Linked DNA regions of Danio rerio. The protein of the gene in region 1 interacts with the protein of each later gene in a pairwise test. Links are inferred from orthologs where the notes say so. Each region holds a gene or a part of one and is shown in the gene's direction. Other genes may lie near its edges. The genes, in order: prkaa2, l3mbtl3, kifc3, ccnb1ip1 and trip6.

Region 1 (4,426 bases):
CAGTGTTGCCAAAAGTCCCAGGAGTAAAAATGTTACTATTTACCCCACCTGTGGGGCAAGTTGTAACAGACAGAGTGTTAGTTGTAACGCATGCTTAAAAAGGCAGATTAAACACAATTAATTTAAATTTAGTTTACTTTTAATAGTAGCAATATTTTCTCAGTACCTCAATTATTATTTTTATTCTACATAGCACAGAATGTTTATTTATTTATTGGATAAAAACATTTGGATTTATTTGGATTATTTTCCATTATAATACAATTAATTTATTTGTAGTATTAGCAATAAAATATTTTTTTTGTCTATCAAAATAAAACAAAAAAAATTCTATTAAAAATAATTGTATTTAAAAAGTTCTCAACATTACACTTAAAATTAAAAAAAAAATGTGTGAGTTCAATTGGTGTCTAACAGTGTGTGGCTTAATTGTAACACTCTGTTACAACTAACCCCGCTGTGTCGTGTTTTATATATATATATATATATATATATATATATATATATATATATATATATATATATATATATATATATATATATATATATATATATATATATAGAGATTGTCTACATTTTACCCCGCTATCCCTTAGATATTTTTCAAAACAGTTCTATACAGCTTAAAGTGACATTTAAAGGCTTAACTAGGTTAATAAGGCAGGTTAGGGTAATTAAGCAAGTTAATGTATAACACTGGTTTTAAAATTAAAAACTGCTTTAATTCTAGCCTATTTATATATATATATATATATATATATATATATATATATATATATATATATATATATATATATATATATATATATATATATAATCAGACATACTGTAAAAAATGTCCTTGTTCTGTTGAACATAGTAAACATAATTTTTTATATAAAATTTTGAAAAAAATAATTCAAAGGTGGGCTAATAATTCTGACTTCAACTCTCTATATAGCTATTAGAGATGACAATTTTGTGAACTGTTCCTTAGTACGCTATCACTGTAAAAAAAATGTTGGGTTCCACAAAATCGATTTGTGTTGGGACAACATGAATAAATTAAGTTAACGTAATTTCTTTTTTACAAATTTAGATGCTTTTGCATTCATTTTAATTTGATGCATCCCAAAGGCGCAGAATAGGCTTAAAATATAAAATTACCACAAATTATTAATAAACACAATAGCAGTAGCCTAATAATGTTACAAAATCACTATAACATCAAATTTAAATATTCCTATATTCAAAATTAATTCATGTAGAGTCATTTGTAGTTATGTCACGCTGGGGGGATACTTGTTTACCTAAACGCCCAGGCGTCCTCTTCCCCAACAGCGATCACATTATCAGCTGATCCGAGATCTGCCTTTTGGTACACAACTCTTACAGTTTCTCCAGCAGCTGAACTCAGATCAGCCCTTAAAAAGGGCTTTAGCCGAGCTCAGTCCACCTCATGCGCGCAATCCCGCCTCCTGTAACGGCAGCCCGAGGACCTCACATAGTAAAATGGCTGAAAAGCAGAAACACGAAGGCAGGGTAAAGATAGGACACTACATCCTCGGAGACACGCTCGGAGTCGGAACATTTGGAAAAGTGAAGAGTTAAGTCTGTTCATTTATTAGACGTGCCCTGATGTTGCGTGCAATAGAAGTGCGAACGTATGTTTTCGGGTCTGTTAGTGCTGAACTTGCCGGCGGACTGTGCGTAATTTACGTAGCATAAACTGCGTAGCGAGAGGCTGTGCTAACGGCTTTCAGACGCAGAGATTGCGTATGTTTGTTCGTGAATATTGCGCAGAACTAGAATTCTTTCAGCACCACGGTAGACAGTGCACTTGCAATCTTGTTTGTTTATATGCTTGGTATCACAACATTTGAGTAACTATATGTCATTTCGGGAATGTTTTGAGGTAATATAACTACGCGTTCTCAGCGTTTGCTATTTTCCTCATTTTAATGCACTGTCATCCTCCCTGCTGCGCTCTTTAACTGTCATATGCGTAATTTCCAACACTCAAATGACAGTCTATAAAACGCGTGTCTCAAAGGAATATATGTATAATTATCGTGAAAGCAGCTCTGAAATAAATGGAGTAGTTCGTGTCTTTACCTGCAGAACTGCTTTGACCTTGCAGTCATTTTCTATTCTAAGCGCTAGTGGGAATGCCGTTCATATTGGGAATGACCTTTCGCACGGGTATACGTTAACCCTGTTTTTAAGCTTTGCTAAGCATCATTGCAGTAAAAAAATATATTAATCGACTCCAATCAATAACGATATACATTTTTTCTTTGTTTGTGCACACATTACGTTTCCTGTATGTGCATTAATTTAAAAAAGGGATATGTTCTAATACTAAAATGCCTAGACTGCATTCTTGGCAGCATTTTTGGACACGGCTCATAGACCAGCATTCCCATTCATCTCAATGGCCCTTTCTTGGTTGCAACTTGCAAGAGACAAGATTCAGGAATTATATTCTAATTCGGCAAAAAATGGTGTTAGAAAGTGCAGTAAAGCAAACCTTTTATTAAGATTAATTATTATTTTTTTACCATAGGGATTTAAAAAATCTTTAAGCCAAGATCCAAACTAACCGACTACTTGGCAAAGCATTACAAAACTGTTTAAGCAAAGTAGGCTGTACGAAAATCAAACACAATGTAATGGTAAAATACTGCAAACTTTATGTAAATGTATTTTGATAATATTTGGGAGATCTGTTCATGTATGCCATCAGGGATGGGCAGTATTTATGATACAAGTATTTCAAACACATATTATAAATACAAAATAGTATTTATGAAATGGGCTAATAAATTGTATTACAATAAGGGTTTTATGTTTTTGTAATTTTAAATAATGTAAAATTCTTTGTACAAAGTGTAGATCAGTGGTTCCCAACTTTTTTTTGCATAAGACCTCCTTTTTTCCCCAGAAAATATTGTGAAAATATTGTGAATATTGTAAGTTTGCAGTCAGGATGACATAAAAATGTTGTTTTCAAACAAACGGTATGTTTAATATTATGTCTAGATATGTTTATGCACAAATAGTAGCCTAATGTAAACAAAGGCCATTTGTAACTGAAAAACGTAAGCCTTAAAATTTTCCATATATATTCGTTTCCAATTTTATAAAAGTTTCTTGTCTGTAGCTGTCCTGACCCTCCTTTCATATTGGGTGTGTGTCAATTATTTTGCCTTGAGTTAAAAAAATGCTCTGAGCATGTTGCGGTATTGATGAGTCGAATGCAAATGTTTTATTATATTAGACAGCCTCATGCATTTGTTAGCAAGAACTTTGGCACAGATAATACACTGTGGCTGGGTCAGGGACTCTTTGCTTTGAGAAAATGAGATAAAACCATAATTCAGGTAACCATCTTAGTATTTTCTGCATTTCGTGTTTTCAGTATTGCTAGCGCTGCGACTCGAAATGTTTGGAGCTTCCTCACCAGGGTCCAATATATGCTTAGGTCATTACTATTAGCTGCTAAAGGCGAATCAGTGAGACTGTGGAGGACGAATTACAAATTTGTCAATTTTTTTGGTCAGCCAGGGAATAAAATGAACTAAGGCAACATGATTGTAATGATTCTCCTGATTGTCCTCTGCTAAAAAATGTTAAAAATATGACTTGACCCCCCTCAGAGCTCGCTGAGGCCCCCTTGTGAGCTGGGACCCCCCTATTGGGAAGCGCTGGTCTAGATGAAATCTTAAAAATGTGGTTTCATATTGACGCTTTCTCAGTTATTTGCCTAAGCTTGGGATCAGAACAGAAAATGTATTTAAAAAGTGGTCAATGCTTGTAGTATGGATGGAAGTTATGCATCTTTGTCACACACAGGGCTTGACATCAACTTTTTCGTTCACCAGCCACTGTGGCTAGTAGATTTCCAACTTTACTAGCCACTTGCCATTTTCACTAACTTTTCTTGTTGGGAAAATATATTTTATATGCATAAATCTGACTTTATTATGCTAAAATGACTTTATTTAGATGTTGTGTTATGTCCACATGCCTTCGTATTCATTTAACTTCTTGTATGTATTATGTAATAGCTTGCTCTGTGTGCATGAGCAAATAGTTTGTCGCAATGCAATCAGTTTTTATTTCACAGGACTTTTCAGGGCTCAAAATTAAGGATTTACCAAATTTATCTCTGACCACACCAAATAAGCATTTCTTAGCCACAATGTTTTAATGTGTCAAAACAAGGAAAATAAAGCTGTATAGGTACACCTTTTAATTCAACAAAACTTTTCTTTAAAAAAAACAAACAAAAAAATTGTGGATGCTCGATCATCGCTGTTTGTCCAGTCTATTTCAAACGGAACCGATCGCACCAGTTGCACTTCCTGTAGTCCCCTAGGCAGGGTTGTGCGCAAGTAAACGGGAGCTTGCACGCTTTTTAACAGTTGCACGCATCACATCACCT
Region 2 (3,837 bases), about 6.0 Mb from region 1:
ACACTATACCAACACACAGATCTGTCCAAACAGCTTGAAAAGTAGATTTTTTACCATAGGTGCCCTTTAAGCAATAATGTTAAAACAATTTGTGCTGTAAAGGAAGGTGAGCGGGACAAGAGTTTTCCCTTGATGTTCTCGTTTTTTCCCCATTCAAATGCGTCTTGTGAACATGTTGTTTTTTTACAAAGTTAGTCTCATTAAAACAAAACCTCAGAAAATAAATCCCTCAACATCTGGCAACATGCCACATTCAATTACAGCAACTCAGAGGTGGAGTTTGAACCTTCCCATTAAGTACCTAGTTTTTTTTTAACGTATTGTGGTAATTTGCACGTTGTGTCAAAACGCTATGTGTCTAGATAATAGCTGTATACTCTCAGTTTGACTCGTGTACGATAATTTTCCTCCAAATACGATAATTTTGAGGGTCTGATACGATACTTTGACATTTCCAATCTGGCAACCCTGAATCCAGCTAACTTGGTGGACGTCATTGTAAAGCAGATGTTTTCAATGCTGTCCTTTTTCACAGCTTTATTACAGATTAGACAAGTAAAAAGATTTGTTTTGTTTTCAGAAATAATGAGCTAATTATACGATATATAATGAGCTTATCCTTCAACTAATCTGAAATAAGATCACAAGTGATTGTACACTTTTATGTCGAAAGAAAAAACACAGAAAATACTGTAGAGTCAAGTGTGTGTTTCTGATCTGCTGGCTTTCAGGTTTCACATCAGATATGTGTGTGTGTGTGTGTGTGTGTGTGTGTGTGTGTGTGTGTGTGTGTGTGTGTGTGTGTGTGTGTGTGTGTGTGTAACAGGAAGAGAAAGAAAGCAGGCGACCAGCCAGAGGAGCGACACGAGGACGCAAGAAACGCAGAGGAGACGCAGCACTGCTCCGATACAGTGAAACACACGCACACACATGCATAGACACATGCACACACATACATGCGTACACAAACAGACACACAGAATCACACACACACACACACACGTAATTGCACACAAACCGACACACACACAGAAACTCAGTCACACACATAAGTAAATAGACACAAACATACACACAGAAACACTCACACATGCCTACATTGACACACATACACACACACAAACATCCCCCACACAAATGCTTACTTATGTACACAGACACAAATACACAAACAGAAGCACACACATACTTAAACATGCATACGGACACACAGACTATCACACACCTATGTGCACACACACACACACGCACATGCACATGTAAATGCACACAAACCCATACACACAGATGCATACGTACACATTCACAGAGAAAAGACGCGCACACACATACAAACACACACACACACACACACACACACACACACACACACACACACAGAAACTCAGTCACACACATATGTAAATAGACACAAACATAAACACAGAAACACTCACACATGCATGCATAGACACACATACACACACATACACCTAAACATGCATTCAGACACACAGACAATCACACACATATGTGCATACGCACACACACACACACACACACAAACAGATGCTTCTAGGTGAGTCTGACTCTGATATTTCCCATGATGCAGCGGTGCCGTATGGAGGCAAGAAGAAGGCCTGGTGCTGGGCCTCGTACCTGGAGCAGGAGAGAGCCATCGCTGCACCCAGCAAACTCTTCAAAGAGGTCAGCACACACACACACACACACGCGCGCACTAGAGCTGCACGATTAATCAGAAAAAACTGCGATCTCGATTCCACCCATATAAACGATCTTAATCCAGCATTTCTACAATTCTGCCAATCATATGTTTAAGTTCAGGAGAGAAGAAAAGGCGGCCGCACAAGTCTTCACAATGTTTTATATACTTTGTTTAGCAATATGGACTCCTCCAAATGTTAATAAAAGAGTCACATACTGTTTATCAGGTATAAATCACTCGAAAATGCCATTTCTTTCTTCGTGGAATGACGTATTCACGGCCGTGAAATCACACTAGATGTGAGCTGACTGTGAGCTGGTACCATAGAGAGAGCGGGCGCATGTGAATGAAGTCTACTTTAGTGAACAGAACTAGAGATGCGCGGATGGCGGTTATTCCGCGGATAAACCGCGGATCGGGCGGATGACGTGACGAAAAATAATATTTTAATTAAATTCGGGCGGGTGGCGGGCGGTTGTACTGTTTTTGTACACATAGCTGGCGCACCAACGAAAAAGCCTAGGACTGACTTCACAGAATGAGAGGAGGAATCGGATACACTAATTCTGGATGAAGTACAGAAGTCTTCCTCTACAAAATTAAGAATAGACGGATCAGCAGAGGAAAATCTACTTTCTTTTTGGGAGAAACAAGGCAGTCATTCCCACGTCTACAGCACCTTGCCAAGAGAATTCTATGCATTCCAGCAACAAGTGCCGCGAGCGAGCGCTCCTTCAGTGCAGCAGGGCGCATTAGAGGCCAGGCGTTCTCGTCTGAATGTTGAAATGATGTGTCAAAATGCGTTTTCTATTAGGTTACTATAATAAAAAAAAATTGTACAGTACAGTGCGTTTCATTTATTTATTTTTGTCCCTGTGCACCGATTGGAGACGGAGTTCACTGCTGATATTCTGAGAGCTTTATAGGGTGCTTCTCATTTCTTATTTGTGTATCCTCGTTTCCTTTCCTTGCTTTCTTTCCTCGTCTTTCCACCCCTATAGGATGCGAGGGAAGGACGCAAAAAAAAACCTCAAGGACCAAGGAATCGAATCAAGTGAAACGACACGTCCTCGTATTGTTTAGCGTCACTTCAAAGCGTCAATTAATGCTGGATTTGACTTGCACGTTTGGATTAACTGCATGTCATTAAAGTCATTCTCTATTTTCTAATAATCAATAAAGAAACATTCATTTAATAATAAAAAGGAATAAGCCATTCAAATAAAGAGCTCAGTCAGCAGATGGCGGGCGGGTGCGGTTTTAAAAATAGGTAAAAAATGTTAGTGCGGATGGATGGCGGACGGATAATGAGTTTTATGATGCGGTTGCGGATGAAATAGTAGCCCATCCGCGCATCTCTAAACAGAACCTTCATAGGCTGTGAATATCAGGTAATACAGTCGCGAATAACATTCAGTTTGTTGCACAGAGCGATCGTTTGGGAGCCGCGCGTGAAGTATGAACCACATCATTTAAAAATTTCATATCGCATTATAGAGTTATGATTACGACAAGCATTTAATATTAAAGCTTTTTCTGTCATAGCGAACACAGAGTGTTGTACATGAGAATAAATGTTTTACAGTGTCAGTGTAACTACTCTAGCCTATATATTGTTCAATTTAATGAAAGAGGGAATCTGATAATGACAAATGTCATCTTAGCAGTAGAAAAATTGAATTGTCGGCAATTCAAATCATGCTGTGTGAATTTGGCGAGTCTTCATTTCTTGTCGGCTTAGTCCCTTTATTAATCCGGGGTCGCCACAGTGGAATGAACCACCAACTTATCCAGCAAGTTTTTATGCAGTGGATGCCCTTCCAGCCGCAACCCATCTCTGGGAAACATCCATTCACACACACACTCATACACTACAGACAATTTAGCCCACTCAATTCACCTGTACCACATGTCTTTGGACTGTGGGGGAAACCGGAGCACCCGGAGGAAACCCACACGAACGCAGGGAGAACGTGCAAACTCCACACAGAAACGGCAACTGAGCCGAGGCTCGAACCACCAACCGAATTTGTCGATTCATCCTATTTTAAAGTCATACAGTGTGAAACCCCCTGTTGCCGGTTCATCTTACAGTGTAAACAAAGCAGTAACCAAACGGTAACCCAGATAGT
Region 3 (4,391 bases), on another chromosome or scaffold:
ACACACACACACACACACACACACACACACACACACACACACAAACACTATAGGGACTTATTTTACATCTTGTTTAAATGAGTGTAAGAGGCCCCCTTTGAAGAAGAGAATATTCAACTTGTATCATCATTTTGGTATTGTCTTATATACAGTTGAAGTCAGAATTATTAGCCCTTGTTGATGTTTTTTTTCTTTTTTAAATATTTCCAAAATGATGTTTAACAAAGCAAAGACATTTTCACAGTATGTCTGATAATATTTTGTCTTTTTGAGAGTCTTATTTTCGGCTAGAATAAAAGCAGTTATTAATTTTTTAACTACCAATTTAAGGACAAAATTATTAGCCCCTTTAAGCTATTTTTTCCGATAGTCTACAGAACAAACCATCGTTATACAATAACTTTCCTAATTACTCTAACCTGCGTAGTTAACCTACTGTAATTAACCTAGTTAAGCCTTTAAATGTCACTAAGCTGTTTAGAAGTGTCTTTAAAAATATCTAGTCAAATATTATTTACTGTCTTCATGACAAGGATAAAATAAATCAGTTATTAAAAATGAGTTCTTAAACCTATTATGTTTAAAAAATAAAATAAACAAATAAAAAATAATAATAATCAATAATAATAATAATAAAACAGGGAGGTTAATAATTCAGGGGGGCTAATAATTCTGATTTCAACTGTATATAAAAAAAATTGTTGTTTGTTTGTAGTTTTCTGTTTGTAGATTTGCCCAGCCCTGCCACTTTAGTTTGAGCACTTACTTCTATACTGGTTAATTTGGTTCGAACAGGCACTCTTGTTGTTTTCCCTTGGTCTGAAGCATGTGAACGGCCCCTAAAAAGGGTAATGAACCAGAAGATGGCCTTTTGTTTGTCTTGCGCACACACTTCAAACATGATTCAATTTTTCCCCCCTGAAGTACCAGCACAAGACAGCGCCGATCTTCTATGTCCCCGAATCCTAATTGATCACTCTAGATTGGCACTGTCAGGTCTCACTGCGCCACATTCCCATAGTTGTCTGTTTCCATATTATGTTCTATCCATTGTCACACAGCAGGAGCATGATGGATGGCTTTGTAGGACGCAGTTCAACAGGGTCATCTTACCACGGAGGCGACCAATCACAGACCAGCTTCTTTATCCTCAGCAGTGCATTTAAAACATGTTTTGAGTTGATTTTCCTTATTTTGCATAGATGCAAACACTGTTGTTACATCATCGGCTAAGAGACGCTTAGCTGTCCGACTGCAGTGACAGATGGACACAATGAGAAAAGGGAGGGCGAAAGAGTGAAAAGCATTTTCTCTCTCGGAGTTATAGGACTACACCAGCATCGCAGGAGTTGGATGGGTTATGAATGGTTGGAGTTTGCCCAGTCATTTGGACCTAAAAACGGGGATAAAGACTATCAAAACAAGGCATTATGAAAGGAGTGGTCTGACCTGTGAGTTTTGTCCTGCAATCCAGTGACTGTAAAAATACAATAAAACCATTACTGACGCAAGTGGAGGTGATGATTTGTCAAAGTGCCAATGGAGATTACGACTGAGAGTTTCATGGTTACTCTTTCGATCGAATTTCACTGGAATACACCTGTAATCTTCTGGAAGATCTCCAAAGAAGAGGCGTGCAGATGGGGAAGATAAGCACCTAAATATTATGTATCCTGATTAAAGAAGCATTTATCATGCTGTTGGCTTACATTGTTTATCAGGCGATATCTTTATAGACGTGTCCAGGTAGGTTAAAATGGCTTTGTGGGGTTTAAAAGCAGATGTGCGGTAGTCGTCCCTCCCTCATTCTCTCTTGAACGAGATTGGGAGATGAGAAAGCCATCTCATTTGCTGATCAGATCACAGACAGATTATCAAGCCTAAGTGAGAGTTCTGGAGCTCGAAGGTGTTGGAATAACACGGTCTTACCTTCCAGGAGTTGTTGTTTGAGTGAAAACAGTGGTGGGAAGACATGCAAGAACTCAACAATACTTGATTCTAAACTGGCTGATCACCTTCACGTCGACCGATAAAGCTCATTGCTGCGCAATTCGGAAGAGTTTATATTACGACTGTAACTTTAACCAGAAGATAGTGTTCAGTGCTTGCGCTCACCCTGAAATGGGATCATCCAGAATCGCTTTTAAAGGATACTCCGTCTAAATGTGTGTGTGGAGACGTCTCCAGTAGTCAAGCCAGCATGTATGTTCTGTGCACCTTGGTGCTGCTGTCTCTTCACAACCTGTTTAGGAGACCCCGAGTCCTGGATCCCGTTGAACCCAAAGCTATCGAAAGCCCAGAGAAGCACAAACCAGATGTAGGCAAACACGGACGCAAGAAGAGAAACAAACACCACATTCCTGGAAGTTCTGGACCACTAGAGACTTCAAGAGTGCATGGGCAGAGTGACGTTGATAGATGCCTTGACGGATTCAGCAGCAGAGCGAGTAAAAGAAGATCTGTTCATCAGGATAATGTGCTGGAGAGGAGGAAGATAGCACAGGTGAGCGTGAACATGGAGGTTAAAGTAAAGAAAGTTGTTAGTTGAAGGCTGTTTGCATTGCAGCCATCCAGTTTAATGTTCACTGTTAACGATTTTTGTAAATTACACAGTATTTAGCTGTAATGTGAACTGTATTTTACTGTAGGACACTCATGCAGTATGTTACTGTATTTTAATGCTGCATTGTGAAAATTAGTGTATATTCTACAGTAAAGATTTACATTAGGGTTGGGCGATGTTGACCGATTTGGCATCGTACGATGTCTAATGTGAAACATCGTGATGGACGATGGCATCAGTGAATCATTTATTTATTCATAACAAATTAATAATTTGTAGCCACCCGTTGCGACTACCTGACCTGCATAGTCTTTGTTTTATACATAACCAAATCATAAATGAATAAAGATAAATTACACATAAATGACCAACCGGTCAATATTTTTTTTTGCGGGATTCTGGCATGAATAGGCAGAGTGATCTGTGTCATTATAATGGCGTCGAAAAACTTGGTTGGTAAAAAAAAAGGTGCACAACCAACAGGAACCATCCAACAGTATCTGAGGTTTAAGCTAGAATTACAATTTACTAAAAGTACAAGCGTGAAAGCGAAAGACTGAAGCAGTGTACTGACGCTGTGTTACCTGATAGATTCAAAAGACAGAGGAGTCGTTAGATAGAGACAAGATTAATTAAATATCAAGTTTAACATCTATAAGATGCAATCCAGCGGTACATCTTTAATAAATTGTCCAAAGTGCACTGCTCTCTGGGATTTTGTGCTCAAAGCACCCACTGACTGCCTAGAGCTCAGACGTGCGCAAATGCTGCAGCACATGCCATGTGTGTTCAGCAGTATGTTTTCAGAAGTGCTAGATAAAACGCCAGTGGATGTGGATCGTTTTCGTTCTAAAATGCCATTTTAATACTAAGATGTATTGGTCTAAATGGGGCCTGAGTGTGTAATTCTAGCGACGGGGGCGGGGCAGAGGATGTTTCTCGGCCTTTGTCGATCGACGATGGCATTGCCTATTGACCCAAAACTATTATACATACATATCTGTAAATACAAGATAAATGGTGCTGTAAATGTAAATACAGTCTATTTGCTGTACTTGATTTACAGTAAGTTACTGGTAAATTGCTGCCAGTATGTTACTGTAGATTCTGCAGGGAATTAAGTGTTGTTTTTGACCGATCAGTCCTCAAGCTGGAAGAGTGTAACTGATGAGTCTCTCTGCTACTGGAAAACCTCCATTTAATCCAAAATGCAATTATTTATTCATTGATTTCTTCTCATTATTTATGTGCGTTGTATTATTGATTTGAAGAAACCTTAGACGGCTTTAAGTTGAACATATTCCTTTTCTGAGTGTGTGAATTTCATCAAGTCTACTGGAGCTATTTTAATCAATCAAGTGCGTTTTTCTCGACTTTTCATCCTTATCCAGAATTTCTGTGATCAGCTGCTTCTGGTGGGAGTAATTCACTATGGGAACATTTTGTAAATGTTCTTTCTGCATAATACACACAGGGATTTTCATTTACCTGGAATCATGTTTATCCTCCCAATGTCCCATTTCTAATGTTCTCTGCAGTCTGATGGATCGTTTTAGCAGATCAAATCCTGAGTGGTTACGCAAGCAGTGGGTTAATCAGAGAGCTCTCTGTCCCCTTTAATCATAATTTAATTCGCATACGCTCTGTTTACTGCTATCCCTTTTCCTCAATCTTTATGCTTTGACTTGACGAATTAGCAAAAATCTGGATTTGCTAGAATTTTAACATAGTGCTTGTGATTTATTACACCACTTCTTTGTGTGCACATTAGTTTTGTACGCTCTTAGTTGGGGCTATATGTAGAATTCAGAAACACTCAACCTCTTTG
Region 4 (4,510 bases), on another chromosome or scaffold:
GAGTGTGTCAGAGTGAACATGCTTGTTCCATGTTGATTTTGTGCTTTAGTATTAGTTCTTCATTTATATATAAACATTAAGGGCCCTATCATACACCCAGCACAATGTGGCACAAGGCGCCGGAGAAGAAGAAGGCATGAAAGTATGGTTTTTATATTTATATGAAAATAATGTTTTATAATATTTAATTCTTTATATTTATATCCCATAGTATATATCCTTATTATATCCTATATATATCTTTAAAATTGAATTTTTTTTTCATATATAAAGATATTTGTGTATGGCTCTACATCTTGTGTGTATTAAGTAGTGTGTAAGCGAGGTGCACAACTAACGCGCTCTGCGTTGGACAATAGACCGGCTTTGTACTGGTCTATCACTGTTGCGATTTTCCTCGGTGCTAGGCTCTGCCCGAAAAGTCGCTAAATGTCGCTACATTACATCATACGTTAATTTGCATATTACTGATGTCATCTCGCTCTACCATTTCTGTTTGTTTAACAGCCTATGGTCAATAAGGAGTATTTATATTAGCACTACGCTTTATGTAAGCATGTCAATTTAACTAAGTTTATTGCTGTTTGAACACAATATATCAGTATAGATGTGTAATGAATTTGCAGTAATCTCTCTGGTGTAATAAGCTCAGACAAGTTCCAAAACTGTCACTTAAAATATCTGTGATTGTGAACAAGAAAAGAATAAACAGTCAAATTAAATTGTTAAAATAAACCAGAAGCAGATCGGAGCAAAATCATTTGCTGTCGGTACACAGAGGGGTGAGGTTGCAGGTGGAAGAGGCTGCTGTATGAGGACTGATTGGACCGCCTGTCAGTGGTCTGAGGCGGGGGAGGGGCCGGCGGCATCACCCTCAGCTCGTTGAGAAGAGTAGGGACGGTACAGTATGGACAAATGACAGTCTATAAAAATCTCCAGTAACACACAAAAAAGTCGCTAGATTTGTCGCTAGTCACTTTTTAAAAAAATTTGTTGCTAGGGGGGTCTGAAAAGTCGCTAAATCTAGCGACAAAGTCTCTAAGTTGGCAACAATGTGGTCTATAGAACAGACTATTATAGTTTCTCAAAATAGCAACGCGCCTCAACACGTCTCCTTTTTTAGATCAGAACGCCTATGGACGCACATATGAGCGCAAATGCATTTGCTATTTAAACAGCTTGGCGCAAAACGTCAAAACAACTCTTGTATCAATCTGAAACGAACAAACAACAACTGCGTCGCGCCTTGCGCCACATTGCGCCGGGTGTATGATAGGGCCCTAAGATTTGTAGATTTGTAGTCATGCGTGTGCGTGTTTGTGTGTGTGCAAGAGATATATAATGTTCGATTCATCTTCCATTTGTGCTCTACATCCTAGAAATTAGAAATGTAAAACATTTCAGATTTAACAGGGTTTACAACTTTGTTTGGACAAATGAATCTAAAAGTTTTTTTCACTTTTCCCATTCATTTCTAATGTGACTTCAGTCTGACTGAGATGAGCTTGATGATGATTTGTTTTCACATCTTTAAAACAACCAAATGAAGTCCTTTTTTTGTTTTTAAATTATTTAGGAAAAGTCACAGAATGTCAAGCCCCTGAGATAAAGGGGACATAAAAAAAATATTTGACCCTGTGGGCCAATTAAGGGTTAATTGAAACTTTAATTTTCAGACGCATTTATATTATTATTAACAATTAAAATGGTCTTTATGCAAAATATGATGCAGATGCATTTTACATTTCATCTTGAACAAATATTATCACAATTGTGGGTCTGTAGCGTTTGAGCTTGAAACCCCCTGCCTGCTATATTGTAAACATAATGCAACTACACTCCGTCCAACTCCATTATCAAGAAAAGTAAAGACACATATTTTGGTGTGTTTTACTTACTTGACCAGTTAACGTGATTTCTTCTTTCTTTCTTTACATAAACATATTATTTTTTACCAAACCGTCTAAAGAGTTTGTCAAGAGTAAATAAAGTTATTTAAACGGCGCTTTTGAGATTCATCAAAGAGCTCTTTGGATTCATGTCAGCAGCCAATCAGACGAGGCCACCTGATTAAAGCCCGCGAAACGCTCTACCTGAGACTCCCTGACTGACTGTAATGAACACAATCGCAAAATCACGGTAAAATATCACCACATTAGCAAGTTACATAAGTGTAAAGAGCGATATACATTTTTAACCGCTAAAACAATTTAATATCAGCTTTAGTATTTGAACAGGAAGCAAGAAATAGCTTGGAAATGCGTCTTTGCTAACTGTTTTTCGCCGTTTTCACCACCAGCTCTAACCGTATGTAACTACCCTGCTGTTAATACATGTTCTATTTCCTTCCTCAAGAACCAGCATGTCTGCATCTAAATTCACCTTGCTGTGTAATTCGCACAAATGCCGGGTGAAGCTGAGCGGTGTGGCCTGGGTCACGGCCTGCTCCCATGTTTTCTGTGACCAGCACGGCTCAGAGGAGTTCAGCCGCACCCCCGCCGTCTGTCCCGCCTGCTCCTCCATGCTCTCCGGCAAATTAGACGTCCTGCGAACCGAGCTGACCCCATCCGAGCAATACAAAGCTATGGTTCTGGTCGGACTACAACCTGAAACCGTTTTGGAAATCAGTCATAAAGCAATAGACTTTTGGATCTACCAGGTTTGATGATTGTGTGGTGTCATGTGACCGTGGACCACAAAACCATATTGCTTACAGTTTTATATAGTTGTATATCATATATTACACGGCTCCATTTTTCTTTTATGCTAAAAATCATTATAATATCAAGTAAACATCATGTTCCATGAACACATTTTGTCTTACTGTAAATATATCAAAACTCATTTTTGCTGTATGGATTGCTAGTAACTTTGGACAACTGTAACAAGCTTGGACAACTTTTAGGTTGTTCAAAATATTATTCTCATTATTTAGAATTTTTTTGTATCCTCAGATATTCAAATAGTTTTATATCCACCAAGCAGTGTCATATCCTAACAAAGATATATGATATATACAGTTGAATTATTAGCCTTCCTGAATTATTAGCCCCCTGTATATTATTTCTGTTTAAAAAAGAATTTGTAATATTCAAAAATGCTTAAAATGACTTTAATGGTGACCTGAAAATTTTTCTTTTTTAAATTAAAAAAATGCTATTATTATTATCCTTGCCAAAAAAACCAAAAACAAATCAGACTTTCTCCACAAGAATAAATGTTATAGGAAAGATTGTGAACAATTCCTTGCTCTGTTAAACATCATTTGTAAAACATTTAAAATATATATGTATATTTTTAACTTCAACTATATATTCTAAAAATATATCAAACTGTCTTAAAGTTTGTCCCGAGTAAAAACTAGATACTAGGCTTGGGCGATATCCAAATTTTAAAACCGTCAAACCGCCTCCATATTTTACCCCGGTATCCGGTATTACCGGCGTAATAAAAAAAAAAAAATGACGTAAGGCTCAGACAGCGTCACCAAACTGTAGGCTTGAGCCTAAACCATTCAGAAACTGCATAACTTCTATGCGACCTTAGGCTCGCGGTCAGAGAGAGAGAGAGAGAGAGAGAGAGAGAGAGAGAGAGAGAGAGAGAGAGAGAGAGAGAGAGAGAGAGAGAGAAGCGACGCAACGCACAGCATCTCTCTCTCTCTCTCTTACACACACACACACACACACACACACATCTCTCCCGCGATTTATTCAGAAATTTGCTCCCACACCGTAAGAAATCTGGCCGGCTCCCGCGGAACAGCAGCGGGAAAGCAGAGAGCTGTCATCGGGCCATAAAAATTATACCCGATAGGTCCCGAGTCCGACAGGTACATTTTGATTGACAGCTTTATCAAGCCCAAACCTGTTTACAGCCCGACATTATTCAAATGTGCTCATGCACACAGCTCTAATGCATTTTTTCAAGAATGAGTCATTTATATGTTTTAACATTATTTATTCGTAACAAGCGCAGACTATAGGCCACTTGAAAGTTGGAACAAATAAATAAAATAAGTCCTCTGTAACATCGTAACATCTCAGCACTCTATAGGTCTAGGTACATGCACTAAGCCTTTAAATTGGCCAACACACCAATGAAAAGAAATCTTGCTTAACAAATCAAATTAAAATAAACTCTAAATGATGACGGGTATTTTGGCAATAACGAAATTAAGATAAAGGCGGTGCAAGATGTTTCTCCACTTCTCTTCACAATCTGGCATTAGGGCGGCGGTGAAGCTGAATATTAAAATAATAATGCCACCATTAGTCTGTATACTCTTTCTTCATTATGATTATATGGTTTAATTAATATTTATTTATATTTTAAAAACCCTTTACGCACCAAGATTAGGCTACGTGTGTTTGTGGAGAAACATTATTAAATCCACTGGTTTTAGCGCAGTCTTGCGCTCATGTGCGTCCAGCAGCTGAACACCCTTTCCTGCGGCTACAGGTCGAGATGCAGAGTTCTTATCCGGCTGATTTTGCAAGTTTTGGGTAGGATT
Region 5 (3,837 bases), on another chromosome or scaffold:
AGTTCGAGCTTTCACTGGTTGTAGTGCAATGCAAGACGGTCATATTGGATGTTTATGTGGTTAAGAAACTTGTTTAGATGTTGTTCAGTGTAATTATTATAGATCAATGTAGACGTGAGAGCTGAATCAATGTTAAGATAGCATTGATGGTTAACTGCTCATTACCTGGCTATTTGCTTGTGTAAAACCATCTTCTAACATCAACAAACATACAGCACGCTACAAGTTATACTAAGGTGGTCAAACTGTTTTTGGGGGCAATTTAACTGGTCAACCAACATTACCAAGCTGTTTTCCTAAATACAGTAGTCAACATTCGAAGCGAATCAAAAATGTTTTTCAAAATTGTCCTAGGACAAGAATGGCTGTTGTTCAATAGTTTTAGGAAATCTTTGATGAAAGGTTATGATCCTCTTCAAATGTTGACTACTGTAGTTCAGCCCAATTGAAGATTTACTCTTCTTCAAGTGGTTCCAACCCTTTATGAGTTTCATTTTTCTGTTGAACACAAAAGAAAAAACTTGAAGGCATGCATGTTAGAAACCTGTAGCCATTTACTTTCATAATAGGAAGGTTACACATTTTCAGTATTTTTCAAAACAGCTTATTTTGTGTTTAACAAAAAAGTACATATAAGGGGTGCGAATTACAGGGGCTTTAGGGAGATATGACCCCCCTAATTACCACTTTATCCCCCCTGAAGGATGTCAGAACAAGATGTATGGGGGGGTCAGTTGTTTAATACTGAGAAATATTTCACTCTGATCTGTATTTTAAATAATATTAATTATTAAAATAATAGATAATATAAATAAAACATTTGACCACCGCTATAACGGTAAAAAAATTGTTAATGCATATTTGCGCCAATCAGTCAATGCGAGAACAAAGTCTGAAAGAGGCAGATCTAGAGCTCCAATAGACATCATGTTCACAAGACTTGTTCTCGTAAAATGGGTGTTTACATATTTAGCCTGAAAAATATGTAGTTTGTAGTTTAACCTACAGTAACATCTGAAATCGCAAATTAGAGAATACTGCAGGTCAGAATACACTAAATGTCCCTCAAAATGCTGAAAACCTAAATCTTTTAGTTTTTATTAATAAACTAGATGAAATTAAAAAAAGAAATGCATAAATAAGTGAAGCATGTATACACAAACTAACTGAAACAGCTGACCCTCCTGATTGTCAATATATAGTCCAAGAGTTCACAGTATATATATATATATATATATATATATATATATATATATATTATATATATATATATATATATATATATATATATATATATATATATAATATCGCAATATATATCGCAGGGGAAAAAATATCGCAATGTCAATTTTTTCCAATATCGTGCAGCCCTAGTTCACACTTAGCTGATGATTAATTATAAAGCTAGTTTGGCATGCTGTCCTGGGGGAGAGCCATGAGCTCAAAAGATCGTCAAGTCCGGGGCTCCCTCCTGTTTGCAAGGCGAGAGGGGAGTTTGAGCTCAGGTTGATCTCGAGAACTCCCCTGCTGTAGAAGCTAATGAACAGATAGTGATTGCTCTTAAGAGATAACTACTTACTAGGAGCATGTCTATAATGCTGATTTGGATTAGTCAATTAACTTAAGTTGTGTTTTTGGACGGTGGGACGAACTCTGGGAACCTGGGGGTAAACCCACGTGAGCATGGAGAGAACATGTAAACTCCGCACTGAAACGTCGACTGGCTTGGTAAGGACTACAACCAAAGATGTTCTTGCTGTGAGGCAACAGTGCTAACCACTGGGCCACCGTGTCAGCCATCTAGGAAAGGAGGAGGAGTAGGGGTGGAAGGGGGGATCCTCAAAAACAAAGGTGGCTGTGATATGGAACTTAGGGTATTTTATAGTGGCTTAGGAATTATCTGATTGGTGAATCATAAATTGGATAATGAGGGACCAGCCGCAAGCAATCATAAGCATGCGATCCTCTCGAAATTAGTTTATAAAAAAACTCCACTTCGCATACTGTATATGTATCTATACTGTATTTACTCCGTCTCAAACAGGTTTGTGACAAGTGAAGGGTGAGTAAAAGATGACAGAATTTTCAGTTTTTGGTGAACTGTCCCTTTATTCTGGCTTTTCAAGTACAATTTCAAAAGACTTCTTCGTTATGTAATGCTTTACAAAATACTGTTGTTGGTGATTTGGTTGTGCTAGACTACTTTCGACCATTAACAAACAAACCATATTGAGGTGAAGTTGGTTTTATATTAACACAATTGTCCAGTGACAACTTGTGACATGCTCCCTATATAGTTTACCATGCCACTTTGAATATTCGGCCTGAAACACATGTAAGTATGATTTGAAAATAACATTAGCACTATTTATTTGACTGTAAACAATGTTTTACTTTGAGATCATTTGTGTTAATATAATTTCCCTATTTAGAATTTGCAAAAGATGTTTTTGTGAAATTAAATTATTCAGAGGAAAGTGCAAATGTGTGAAAATAAAACCAACTTTACCTCAATACGAACCAGCTACTAGTTAGTTCTACTAATGTGGCTAAACTCTATATTTGGGCATGTTAACTGCTCAACCAGCAGATTACTAGACAGCCATCTTAAGCTAGATTCTCAGAGGACTTGTTTGTTTTCTAATACTTTTGTAAAATACTATTGTGTTTACAGCATCTTATATTGTTGTGAGGTTTGTTTTCATAAGCTTATAATAACAAGCACTCGTCAGCACTTGGATACACAAGCACATTGTCTGGCGAACACCTGATGGCACAAATGAAAAGTTGTATATTACACAACACTTCCTATCTTATTTTCATGGACAGGCTCTGTAGATAAAGTATTGTGGATTAAGTGTTGTGGACAATGCCTATTGTACCTATGGGAGACTCGAGAGCGGAACGAATACATTGCAAATGTTGTGCACCTGTGGGAATTGTATGTTTGTTTTGTATGTGTGTGAGAGAGAGAGAAATGCTGTTTGACTGAGGAACCCTGGAATTCCCCTTTCGGCTGAGAATGGTTCCCTTTTCCTGCTTTTTAACTTGGTGCCTATTGTTATCATGGAAACCATGCGTTGCCACTGGAGACAAAGCATAAAGCATCAGTCTGTTTTGTGTAGTTACAGTTATGCATTTTATACAAGCTTGGGCAGCACTTCTATAGAGCCTGAACTCTTAGGGATTGTTGTGTTATACATTACATCTAATCATATTTAAAATACTCAAATAAGTGACTTTAAACCTACAAAGTTTCACAATGGTGCCATGGTTTATATTGTGTGTTGTTCTTGTAGAAGTCTGATATGTCTGGTCCCACCTGGCTGCCTCCAAGGACCCTGGGTAGCCCAGACAGAGACACAGCACCAATGTCACACTCTGGCCCCGCTCTCTACAGACCTCCAAAGAAAGGCCTGCCCGAGCAGAGGCCCAAATATAACATGTATGACCAGAATGGTGGAACGGGAGGAAATGGCATGCCCATTAGATATATGGCTACTGGACCTTCAGGTAAGAACTGCTAAACTTGTTGTTTAAACGTCATGTTGATCCCTATGTACTGTTACTTTTTTTTAAAAATTAAATTCATTTTTTACTCTATTTTTATTTTTATTTTTTTTTATACATTTCATTTTAATGTTTAAATTAAATCCTAGTGATAAAAAACTTGTCAGATTAGTTTAAATCCTAAAACTAGAAAGCTGGAATAATTTATCTTGAGCTAATCTCATTTTCTGTAAATGAATGCTCTGAATGATAATATTCTTCATTTTAAAATTAGTGAAGACAGAATATCAGTATTTTATAAATGAAAACAGAAATGAACATTTATTC

Evidence for each region.
Region 2: the proteins of prkaa2 (region 1) and l3mbtl3 interact in binary tests that used the Homo sapiens proteins (3 or more experiments, as listed by UniProt). The two-hybrid records come from large-scale screens. The link is inferred for Danio rerio from reciprocal best matches to the Homo sapiens genes PRKAA2 and L3MBTL3.
Region 3: the proteins of prkaa2 (region 1) and kifc3 interact in binary tests that used the Homo sapiens proteins (3 or more experiments, as listed by UniProt). The two-hybrid records come from large-scale screens. The link is inferred for Danio rerio from reciprocal best matches to the Homo sapiens genes PRKAA2 and KIFC3.
Region 4: the proteins of prkaa2 (region 1) and ccnb1ip1 interact in binary tests that used the Homo sapiens proteins (3 or more experiments, as listed by UniProt). The two-hybrid records come from large-scale screens. The link is inferred for Danio rerio from reciprocal best matches to the Homo sapiens genes PRKAA2 and CCNB1IP1.
Region 5: the proteins of prkaa2 (region 1) and trip6 interact in binary tests that used the Homo sapiens proteins (3 or more experiments, as listed by UniProt). The link is inferred for Danio rerio from reciprocal best matches to the Homo sapiens genes PRKAA2 and TRIP6.

What each region holds. Positions count from the first base shown.
Region 1 is NC_133195.1:8,217,833-8,222,258, forward strand, and holds the start of prkaa2 (5'-AMP-activated protein kinase catalytic subunit alpha-2), read left to right. Parts: upstream 1-1,481; 5' UTR 1,482-1,491; coding exon 1,492-1,585; intron 1,586-4,426. UniProt on the Homo sapiens protein: Catalytic subunit of AMP-activated protein kinase (AMPK), an energy sensor protein kinase that plays a key role in regulating cellular energy metabolism.
Region 2 is NC_133195.1:2,225,479-2,229,315, forward strand, and holds part of l3mbtl3 (lethal(3)malignant brain tumor-like protein 3), read left to right. Parts: intron 1-826; coding exon 827-911; intron 912-1,591; coding exon 1,592-1,686; intron 1,687-3,837. UniProt on the Homo sapiens protein: Is a negative regulator of Notch target genes expression, required for RBPJ-mediated transcriptional repression. It recruits KDM1A to Notch-responsive elements and promotes KDM1A-mediated H3K4me demethylation.
Region 3 is NC_133193.1:48,507,829-48,512,219, forward strand, and holds the start of kifc3 (kinesin-like protein KIFC3), read left to right. Parts: upstream 1-1,325; 5' UTR 1,326-2,200; coding exon 2,201-2,503; intron 2,504-4,391. UniProt on the Homo sapiens protein: Minus-end microtubule-dependent motor protein. Involved in apically targeted transport. Required for zonula adherens maintenance.
Region 4 is NC_133182.1:19,534,554-19,539,063, reverse strand, and holds the start of ccnb1ip1 (E3 ubiquitin-protein ligase CCNB1IP1), read left to right. Parts: upstream 1-1,707; 5' UTR 1,708-2,116; coding exon 2,117-2,139; intron 2,140-2,355; coding exon 2,356-2,659; intron 2,660-4,510. UniProt on the Homo sapiens protein: Ubiquitin E3 ligase that acts as a limiting factor for crossing-over during meiosis: required during zygonema to limit the colocalization of RNF212 with MutS-gamma-associated recombination sites and thereby establish early differentiation of crossover and non-crossover sites.
Region 5 is NC_133182.1:19,978,061-19,981,897, reverse strand, and holds part of trip6 (thyroid receptor-interacting protein 6), read left to right. Parts: intron 1-3,299; 5' UTR 3,300-3,308; coding exon 3,309-3,513; intron 3,514-3,837. UniProt on the Homo sapiens protein: Relays signals from the cell surface to the nucleus to weaken adherens junction and promote actin cytoskeleton reorganization and cell invasiveness. Involved in lysophosphatidic acid-induced cell adhesion and migration.